2 linked regions of the Caenorhabditis elegans genome follow. The protein of the gene in region 2 purifies or fractionates together with the protein of the main gene of each other region. This does not show direct contact. Each region holds a gene or a part of one and is shown on either strand. Other genes may lie near its edges.

Region 1 (5,976 bases), 2.9 Mb from region 2:
GTCGCTTATGGCCACTCAGCCAGTCATGGATTCCCTAGTACCTATGTATTTTATAAGAGACTACCGAAATGCAATTAGGAAGGTTTTTGTAAAGGTTACAGTACCTGAACTATCAGTTACAACGCCGGGAAATCGAGTTTTTCCAATATAAATTTTATTTCTATGCATTTCTCCATTTTCACATTTCTGATATCTCAATTCCCCGCAGAGTTATGCCGTTTCAAAGTTTAGAGGCGAGAGAGTATGGGGGAAGGGGAGAGTACACTCTGGTGCCTTCTCTGCGTCTCTTCCCCCCCTTCGCTGTCTCGCTAGCAAAACTTTAAATAGCAGTATCTCCTTAGTGGTTTGAGATATCTGAAAACTTCCAATTGAAGAAATTGTCAGCGGAAAATTCTACGTTCATTGTGATAATTCAAAGTGTATTTAATATTTGATACTAACTTCGTTTTGTAGTTTTTTCACGTACCTTCTTAACTGTCAACTTCCCCTCTTAGACTTCGAATTTGCGTATCATTGTAGCCGTAAGAGATACCGAAAAACTTTCAAAATGTTCAGCGAGACATTTTCTATTAGAAAAATTTATTTATAGACAATTGTTCCAGTATCTAGTTCACAAATTCCGGTGCTGGTGGGCATGCCCTTTGTCTATCGTTGTTCTGAACAAGAATTCATGAAAATGTTTTCTCTAAACTTTTCTACAGTTACTTACATTATATTCTGAAAAAAACACATTCATGTCATTCTTCTTTCTCGGAGTTATCAACAAAATCAGCATTGCCAAAATCGAGATCAACACCAGAATCATCTCCCCGCCGATACTATCCATCGAGTAGAGTCCGCGAACATTTCCATCAAATGAGTATTGCACAAAATAGAGCACCGCAATGATTGGTGCACGGATCAACACAGGCATTACTTCAAGCTGAGGGAAATTGAAAGTTAGTTGAATTATAAAAAAAAGAGAAAATGGTTACCAAATGAACTTTCACAAAAAAGCGAACAATATCTGTGAGAGCACTGGTAAATATCCCGATTGCCAAGTAGAACGGAAAGACAGAATCTGGAAATATAACTTATCTGACGCAAAATTTTATGTTGATCATTTCCTCAGTTGAAAGTTTTTCGATAACTCTCACCGTTTAGGAGATACAAGCGTTTGAAGTTAGCGGGTGAGAGATAGTAAGCGGGGAGAGACGCAGGCGGTGCGTTGCACTCTCCCCGGCACACACACTCTCTCGCCGCCAAACCTTTAAACGCGTATATCTCCTGACCGGTAAGAGGTATCGAAAAACTTCCAACTGATAAAATGCTTAAAATTTTGTGTTCTACTCACGCTCAATGGTATAATGTTGAGAGCACTTGTCATATGTCTTGAAAATCGCCGGAATCACATAAATAACCGATGTCGTGAGAAAAATCACTGGAATAGTCAAAATCACTGGGAGAATCCGTCGAGTTGGCATCAAAAAGCTCAGAATCAGGAGCAAAATGGCTGATAGAGTGTATGACGTCATGGGTATCAGAGTTTTCTCGAAGAACATGAGCTCGGCGTGCTTGATGGTTTCGGCTTCGAAGAAAGCGTCGACAGCAAGGCTGGCGCCGGAGATCACACCACAAACGAGCACTTCTTGAATTAGCTTGAACGATTTCAGCGTTTTCACGAAGATCTCGATAGCGTTATCATTATTCTCGAAATTTTCGAATGCGATCTGATCGATTACGGCATCTGGCGCCTGGTAGATGTCGGATTTTTTGAAGATCTCAGTCACCCGATCCTGCATTTGATCCGTCTTACTTCGAGCCAACAAACTGTACAGAGAGTCGTGGAATGTGCTGAAATATTGGATTTTTAGTCAATTTTCAGCGGGAAATTTATATTTTCAGCCAATTTTTCCCAGGAAATTCAATTTTTTTGTTAATTTTCACCGGGAAATTCAAATTTTCCAGTCAATTCCCGGCTTTGATTTTAGATTTTTGTTCCATTTTTGATCCAAAATTTAAATTTTCAGTAAATTTTTGGCTTGAGATTCACAGTTTCGTCAATAAAAACCCACTAATAAGTGACAAATCCCATGATGATCGTGAGAAATCCAAAAATCTCAAAGCTGTACGACAAATCCATGGAGAATTCTGATGGTAGACGAACGGCTACAGTGGAAAGTGTGTGTGAAGCTGTGCGGACTGAAAATTTGAATTTTTCGTAGACTTTGTAAGCTCAAAGCTACCAATTTCCAGGAGGATCAACGCCGGCATTCTGTGATACTTTGGAACCGACTCAGCAATTGTGATTAAGGCAACGATGCGGTATATCTGAAAAAAATTTAAGTAAACTTAAGTGAAAGTTGTAGATCATAAAATTTTGAATATTTCCGTAGTTGAAAGTTTTCGAATATCTTTATTCTCCGCTGAGATACACGCGTTTAAAGCTTGGGCGGCGTGAGAGTGTAGGGTGAGGGGAGACGCAGGCCGGCGCGCCGACTGCGTCTCTCCCCCTCCCCTACTCTCTCGCTGCGCTGACTTCAAACCTTCATATCTCCTCAACCGTTAGAGATATCAAAAAACTTCCAACTGATGAAATGCTCATTAACATATTTTCAATGCGCTCACCTCCGAAAAAATCTGCGAAACATAAATGCTCATCTGAATTTGAGAGTCGAAATGTGCCATCACAAAATACGCGGTGCTCACAAATCCCAGACAACACATTACCAGCTTTCTGGGGCTCAAAGTAGTCGTGGCAAACATGAAGAAAGTATCCATCACAATAGTCAGCTCTCCTTTTGGTACTCGAACTGGAATGAAATTCACTTTTTCAGCAACTTTCAGTGAATCATCCATATTGTTTGGGAGACATTTTGAGTAGAAATACTCATTTGTTCCGTTGTGTTTCATAGTTTCCAGAGATTTAAGCTTTTGGGTCTCTGTTAGGAATCTGGAGGAGAAATAGATGAAGAAGTAGACGATGAAGATTGGAAACACGGTTTTTCGGTAGTGCGGGTAGTTGGATCCTGGAATAATTGACATTTGGGTAGAAAATTGTACGCTGATAATTTTGTCAATTGAAAGTTTTTCAGTATCTCTATTCGTTTAAAAGACATGCGCGTCAAAAAACTTGACTAGAGAGTGTGGTGGGGAGAAAGACGCAGTAAGCTCGCGCGCCTGCGCTCTCCCCTCCTCCAACACTCTCTCGCCGTACAAGCTTAAAACGCGTGCAGCTCCGCGGAGAATGAAGATATTCGAAAACTTTCAACTACGGAAATACTCAAAATTTTATGATCTACAACTTTCTTTTAAGTTTTTCAAAAAAATATTTCATAATTCCTAAAACTTTTGGTTGAATATTCTGTTTAGATCTTGAAAATTCACGCATAAACACTCTGTGTACTGCGGCCGACGCTGTGCAGGTCCGCGTGGCGAGAGCACCGCTTTCGTGGAAGGCCTGCTAGAGAGTGTGGCGGGAAGAGAGGCGCAGGTAGCTCACGCGCTTGCGCTCTCCCCTCCCCCACACTCTCTCGCCGCTAAACTTTAACCTGTCGTATCTCTGCGTAGGATTCAGATACCAAAAATCTTTCAAATAAAAAAAATGTTCAAAATTATCCGCACAATATTTTGCAATAGTTAATTTTGGCGTAACTCCCACCAAAACTCACCAATATACGTCATAAGCTCCTCCAAACTGCCGAACATTCTCCCATCATTGATTGATGCATCGGATGAGCTTGGCTTTAGCTCCGTCTCGACTCTCTCATCATTTTTTGTTTTAGAATTTGAAGTTTGTGACGAACTCAGTTCCGAAAACATTTTTGAAATACAGAAATGATTGGAAATTGAAAATATAGGGGAGGGAAGCATTGTGGCAAAATATGTGGATAGCGTGAACTTGGAAAATAATAAAAATTGACTAAAACTTTTTTGGATACAACACAAAATTGTACAAATTTAATAAGTAGATCGCTTTCGAAAAAAATTCTAACTGAATAATTGTTTGAAATTTTCCCATTTTTTTAAAACTAAAATTCTCAAGATAATTTGTTTGTAAATTCGAGAAAATCTATTGTTTTAACATTTATTTCCATTCAAAAATTTATGGAAATCAACAAAAATATACGAATTTGCACAATTCCTGTGGGGTAGAATCCAAGTCATCATCGAGTTGATCTGCGATCTCTACAAGGGATTTGATGAGCTTTGGACATGTGGATCCGGAGCAATTTTTCTGAAAAAACTCAAATGTCAGCGATTTTTGAGCGATGGTAATTCAAAATTGGAAATCTACACTAAAATTGGGCCTGGAAGCTTTTTCTGCAAACTTTTTAAGTGACCAAGTGGCTCAGCTGGGTACGGGTTTGGTTATGACGCAGAAGGTCAGGGGTTCAACCCCCACAGCGGCGAAAATTTTTGTTTTTTTTTGTTTCTGCGACTAAAATCATTTTGATCTTCAGAGTATAAAAGAAAATTTAAATTTTCAAAAATTATCAGAATTTTGTTCTTTTTTTTTGAAAAATTTCATTTTTGAGTTTTTTAGGTCAGACTTAATGCGATTATGTATACAAATTTGAAATCTACGCAATTTTTGGATTTGGAAGTCGTTTTCCCGCAAATTTTAAAATTGGTCTCGGTGGCTCAGTAGGGTAGAGGTTTAGTTGCGGCGCAGAAGGTCAGGGGTTCGACCCCCACTGCACCCAATTTATTTTTATTTTTCAGTTACTCACCTCTACATGCTTCTTCACATAATCGTCGATTTGTTTCGCTGACAAATTAGCCATATAGGCCAATCCCTTGCCATCCTTGATCGCCTTCACACTTTTCGTGCAAAAATCGCATTTATTAGCGAATATCGGAGAAATACAGAGTGCCAGGAGCAAAGTGAGAAGGAGAAGCTTCATATTGGAGGGAATCTGGAAGTTTTTTTTGAAATTTGAAGAGAATCCTACTCATTTTTATACCAATTTTCTTGGGAAAATCTTCAAAAATTCCTAAAATTCGAGTTTTTTCCCACGAAAAATTTCCATATTAGACGTTCCAAAAGACGTGGTGTTTGGTGACAAAATGGAAATAATGCAAATCATATGTAAAACAATCAATTTAAATTTCAAATTTCGGTACTGTAGAGATCCTCTGCAGTTTTTGCTAATCACTTATCACTCATTAACCACACCGGGAGGCCCAAAACATGAAGCTTCTGCTTATTTTCTCTGCAATTTTCGTTCTTGCCGCTAGTGCTTTCGCTGATATTCAAGAGGCTCAGGGACAATTCTGCGAGATGTGTAATAAGAATTGGGAGGAGAAAGTGCCGAAGAGTTGGGCAGAAATGACGGGATATATGGTGAGTTGGAAACAAAAACTAATGAAAAGTTCGAATTTGGCGCGAGATTTTGATCTTGGAGGCGTTTTTAGCACAAATTTTTTATCGGGTGGCTCAACCGGGTAGAGGTTTGGATTCGGCGCAGAAGGTCAAGGGTTCAATCCCCACTAAGAGCAAATATTTTTGTTAAGTTGGATCACTATGAAGAAGATTAAATGTTTTTTGAAAATCGCGTTTTTACCGAAATCCGGATTTTTTGTTGTGAATTTTCCGAAAAAAGGCATCGAAATAGTCTGAACAGAGGTCTAAAATCGAAATTCGGAGTTAGATTCAATGAAAAATGGCCCTAACTCATTTTTTTTGACCATAAAAGCTGTTTTTTTCAAATTTCGAAAAAATGATGCAATGGCTCAGTTGGGTAGAGGTTTAGCCAAGGCGCACAAGACTGGGGTTCGATCCCCGCCGGCGGCAAATTTTTTGTTTTTTTTTTGTTTAGAAAAAGTAGTTTAACACTGAAAACCTTAAGATTGACATCCTTTTCAGAGGAAATTTTAAAAAAATTTCCAGAACCTTGCGTGCTTCCAACTTCACAAAACTCTCAAGCCAAAATGTATGGCTCTGGTGAACAATTTCAACATTGGCAACGTTTTTGACACATTCCGTCCTCAACT
Region 2 (5,119 bases):
TCCCTTCATTCTTGAGCAATCAAAAAATGGCAAAATTCGATTATTTGTGCTTGAACTTGTGAACTATTGGCACAAATCATAGGTAGTACCACTTGGATTAATGAAAACGGAGGAAGGATGTTAAAGAAATTTTGTTACTGAGGATCACCTTAATTGACTAAATTAAATGAGATAAACTACCAAAATATGCAAAGAAGGTTGATAACTCCAAAAAAGTTAATTTTGGGCAGATGCGGCACGGAAAAGTGGTCAAAATTCGAGATTTTAGCTAAAATCAGCGTGATTTTTTTTCAAAATTTTAAACCGGCATAAAACATTTTTGAAAAATTTGTGAGCAGTTTCGTTACGAAATTCATTCGTTTCAGCCGACACTTCCAAAATTGCTCAAACCGTTAGTTCTTCTTTAAAAATATGTTTGTCGTAAACTATAGTTAAAATTCCATCACAAAATTGACGATACCCAAAAATATAAGATGACCGATTATTGGTTCATTAAAAGGTTCATTTAAAAAGACATCATGAAAAATTAGGGTATTTGTAAATGATGTAAAACTAAAATGAGAAAAAAATTCGTAAACGTTCCTCTGAATGTCGTGCTCATGGATGTATGGTCTAAACAAAGCTCATTCATAAAAATTTTAATCAAAAAAATAAAAAACGTTTCTTGATTTTCTCTTCCTTCGCTATTGATTTTGCGTCTCTTTTGGCATGATCAGCCTCTAATATCATTCGATTGTTTTCCATCATTCTCTGAGTATTCACAATGATCAATTAAAAAATTTCATTAGACTCACTTTCATTTGATTAAATCCGTCTATATTTCTGATTTCCTGTTGTTCCAACGACAATCGTAAGTGATTAGGGTCTTTATCTTCTGGTCCATTGTAGGAATGAGTCTAAAAATTGAGTGGTGTGTGTGTTAAAGTATAAAACCTTAATTCCTACTTTTCTATTGTCGACGAAATGATCATCAAATTGCTGATTATGAATCTGGCTATTGTTGGTTTGACGGCGCTGAAGATGAAGTTCATCAGCCCTTGAAGTATTGTGAGAATTTCCGCGATATGGCCCATTTCCTCTATTGCCAACTCTCGTTTGGTGATCTTCGCGGTGTCTCTGACCTGGTTCCATGTACATCTTAAAATTTAAGTTATAGGTGTATTCATCGGATAGTTCTTACCCTCTGCTGATCATCCGACCAATCTTCTCGATTCTCTGCATACCGTTGCACTCCTTGATCAAACACCCCTCTGGGATTCTGAAAATTTAGGTTTTGCATTTTCTCCTACCTCGAATGGGGTATTCTCTAGATTTAATATTTATTATCATAGAAAGCTGACACTTTATTTTATAAAGCTATATGTGAATCAAAATGCGTTTTACCCCATTTTCCTCATAGTAAGCTTTGCTTATTGCATGTCTTAGTCGAACTGACTCTGACGAGTATCTCTTTTACCAGCATTATAAACTTGTTTCGATCTTACCATGGAGACATTTTTGTAATTCGGCTCAAGGCTTGTTCGATCATTTTCGTGAAATCCGTGACCTCTCGGCTCTTCATGAGTTTCTAGTTCCCTGGGCTCAACGAATCCGTGGACGTTTTGATAACTTGATGCGCCCATCCGTTCTTGTGCCACTCTGGGATTTGCAAAATTTTGCTCTCGCTTTTTCTCAAATCTCATTTGTTCGTTTTCTCTTGATGCTCGATTCTGTTCGATGTGACGCTGGAATTATAATGTATTCACAGTAAAATAAAAAATTTGTTACCTCGTCTCCCCTTAGTCTCCGCTCTTCTTGCTGACTGTCAAAACTATTTCGTCGCTGATGAAAATCTCCATTTACCGTCATACGAGGATCATTGTAGTTTTCTTGATTTTGACAAGCCTTATCGTTCTTCCTTCTTTGATCCGCATTGGGAGTTTTGTATCCTGTCTCCATGTGCATCTTAAAATTCAAAATATCTAAATATTCATAAGATAATCTCTCAAACTTACCGTCCGTTGCTCATCCTGCAATTGCTGCTCGGTCATGTTCCCATGTGGTCTTGCAGTGTAAAATTGTTTTGGACTTGTCTCGTTTCTCCTATTGTCAACTCTTGTTTGATTACCTTCACGGGATCCATGACTTGACCTCATGCTCATCTTAAAATTCGAATTATCGACATATTCATTACAAAACCCTCTTACCCTCCGCTGATCGTCCTGAAACTGTTGCTCGGTCCCGTTTCCATGTGCTTCTCGTTGCACGTAAGTTTCTCTGTAGTTTCTATCACTTCCTAAACGTTTATTTCTAGTCGCTGGATGCTCTTCCACATAACGCTGTAATCAGAATTTAAATTATGCAAAATATAGACAAGCCGGTTTCTTTGTTACCTCATCTTCCCGTCTATGGACTGCATTCTGTCTGCCAGAATCATGTTGTTTTTGATGGTAGTCATCATTCGCATCCACATTTGATTCTTCTGGTCTTGCAGTGTAAGATTCTTTTGGATTTGGCCCATTTCTCCTATTGTCAACTCTTGTTTGATTACCTTCGCGGGGTCCATGACCTCTCTCCAAGTGCATCTTAAAATTCGAATTATGGACATATTCATTTCAAAAATCTCTTACCCTCCGCTGATCGTCCTGAAACTGTTGCTCAGTCATGTCTCCATGTGCTTCTCGTTGTACGTAAGATTCTCTGTAGTTTCTATCACTTCCTAGATGGGTTTCTCTAGTTGCTGGTCGCTCCTCCACAAAACGCTAAAATTCGAATTTATATTATGTAAAATATAGACAAGCCGGTTTCTGTGTTACCTCATCTTCCCGTCTATGTACTGCATTCTGTCTGCCAGAATCAAGTTGTTTTTGATGGTAGTCATCACTCGCATCCACACGAGATTCTTCTGGTCTTGCAGTGTAAGATTGTTTTGTGTTTGGCTCATTTCTCCCATTGTCAACTCTTGTTCGATTACCTTCGCGGGATCCATGTCCTGATCCCATGTTCATCTTAAAATTCGATTTATCGACATATTCATTTCAAAAATCTCTTACCCTCCGCTGATCGTCCTGCTCATGTTCTCGTTGAAAATTCTGATCGAATGATTCTCCTGCTGCTCCATGAACTTCAGCAGAACTTTGCTCACTCTTCATTCCCATTGATTTGCTTCTTCTTTGATCAGTTTCTCCGAACTCTTGATTCAGCGGTTTATAACTCTGAAATTTGCTTCCCGTTACCGAATTAGGTTGGGGTTACATACCTTAAGCACCACACCATTTTGCCTCTGTTCATCATTATCCGAGCGGTGACCTCGAAAGTCGTGCTCCAAATGTCTGTCGGAATGTTCAGAGTCTTCATGCAAACTGTTCTGACTGTCAGCGTGATGGGGCCCGAACATATCGCTCACTCTTAATTTATCAGCCTCACTGCAAAAAAGGCAGTATGCTAATTTTCAATGAAAAAGTAAGAGAATTCTAATAAAGCACCAAAAAGAATCAGAAAAAAACTTCAAGGTATATAATTGTACTTTTAGCCTACGAAAAATTCGAAAATTAAGAAAACAGTTTTTTGGCTAGCACACAGCCCCTATTACAGGCTTTACTACAACAACGCTGTAGAAAACAATAAAAGTAAGACAACTGAACATTCGTGGTCTCCGCTCTTCAATTTATACTGAACTGATAAGAGCATTCCTTATAAATAAAAATATTGCTCCACATTATTGAAAGATAACACAATTCCTCATACGGAAGAAAGTGCATTTCAATAAAATTATAGAACTAAGAAACATAACCTGTCAAAAAACTAACCGCGAAGCGTCATGAAATCTGAGGAACATGAAAATTAACTTTCAAGAGCACATTTCTTTCAAAACTTTTCCTTGACAGGAGGAATTAATTGTTAGCAATATTTTGATTATTCATGAGGTTGATGTGTCCTCTCAGTATAAAAGAAGCTTGCACTCAAGGGAGCATTATATTCTCTTTATTTTTTACCCCATTTGTATCATTAATTTTCCTGCAACATGTTCTAGTAAAACACTAAAACTTTATATTTAAATGATGGTTACTAAAAATTGTGTTTTTTTAAACAATTAAACGGAATTTTGTTATATTCATTTCAATGTAAAGCATAATTCAGAAAACAATTCCAACACCCAAACAATGAGCGACAACAATACACTGCGGATGGCGGAAATGCTGGATAAGCAAAATTCCCGGCAACATGATTTCATGAAGGTTTTTAAATTTATTTTTTCTATTAATTAATAATGTTTAATACTTTACCTAATAATCAATAATTAATAATTTACCACAAGTATTATATTTCAGCGAATGATGGAGATGAACTACAATGCAAGATTGTCCGACCAGGCAAGAGATGATCGAAACGCGATTCGAAGTGAAAATAATCTCAAAGAAGTCAATGCTGGTTATCATATTTTTATTTTCAATTGTAATAATTGTTCATTCAATGTTGTTCATACTTCAAATAGGAAAAAATAATAAATCAATTATTATTATTATTATGATTATTATTATTACGTCTTTGACAATTCGGCCGAAGCACAAAGGGAGGAGAGTCCCGTAGACATTTCCATTAAAATCAGAAGAAGAAAACAAGGGAGACAATTGTTTTGGGTGTTCTTTATCTATTGCAATTTTAAATCTCATCTATTACATTTTTGTTTTAATCAAGTTTTCTTAAAGTTAGCTATATTAGCTATATACTACCTATATCTATCTCGTTATTTTTAAAATAAACACAGTTTTGGCGTGTTTTTTAATCTTGTGTAACACGGCCTCTCTCAATTAAAAAAAAAATTACATTTAAAAAAGTAATAATCTGTCTCTGCGTCTCTCATGAGCGAGAGAGTGAGTTTTTAAACTGGTTTTGCACTGAATACTGAACAATTGTCTGTAAATGGCGGATAATAAAACAAATCAAATGTTTTACTCTGATTGAACAAACAAATAGCGTTTAAATGGCATGCATAAAAAGCAAATTTGACGGTTTCCTATGAAACCTTTGAATACGTAAATTTGGGAGATATCGAAATTAGTGATTTTTTTAAAGTATAATATGGTGCAAGAAAGGTTTGCCACGTTCAAAAATAAAATCAAAATTATACAATAAACGT

What was found.
Region 1: the proteins of F26F2.1 (region 2) and F59A1.15 fractionate together in Caenorhabditis elegans (co-fractionation; one large-scale study listed by BioGRID). This does not show direct contact.

The regions. Positions count from the first base shown.
Region 1 is NC_003283.11:17,680,056-17,686,031, forward strand, and holds F59A1.15 (Adenylate and Guanylate cyclase catalytic domain containing protein), read right to left. Parts: upstream 3,809-5,976; 5' UTR 3,802-3,808; coding exon 3,651-3,801; intron 3,009-3,650; coding exon 2,608-3,008; intron 2,311-2,607; coding exon 2,226-2,310; intron 2,182-2,225; coding exon 2,055-2,181; intron 1,834-2,054; coding exon 1,334-1,833; intron 1,061-1,333; coding exon 975-1,060; intron 923-974; coding exon 710-922; intron 657-709; coding exon 606-656; 3' UTR 562-605; downstream 1-561. Other genes in the region: F59A1.16 (Saposin B-type domain-containing protein), read right to left, coding at 4,094-4,216, 4,713-4,886; F59A1.6 (Saposin B-type domain-containing protein), read left to right, coding at 5,174-5,326, 5,873-5,976.
Region 2 is NC_003283.11:20,558,520-20,563,638, forward strand, and holds F26F2.1 (Trichohyalin-like), read right to left. Parts: upstream 3,377-5,119; coding exon 3,239-3,376; intron 3,195-3,238; coding exon 3,033-3,194; intron 2,988-3,032; coding exon 2,796-2,987; intron 2,742-2,795; coding exon 2,610-2,741; intron 2,565-2,609; coding exon 2,373-2,564; intron 2,319-2,372; coding exon 2,187-2,318; intron 2,142-2,186; coding exon 1,995-2,141; intron 1,945-1,994; coding exon 1,768-1,944; intron 1,725-1,767; coding exon 1,485-1,724; intron 1,259-1,484; coding exon 1,181-1,258; intron 1,138-1,180; coding exon 946-1,137; intron 897-945; coding exon 795-896; intron 751-794; coding exon 643-750; downstream 1-642. Other genes in the region: F26F2.2 (Transcription termination factor Rho), read left to right, coding at 4,143-4,217, 4,311-4,484.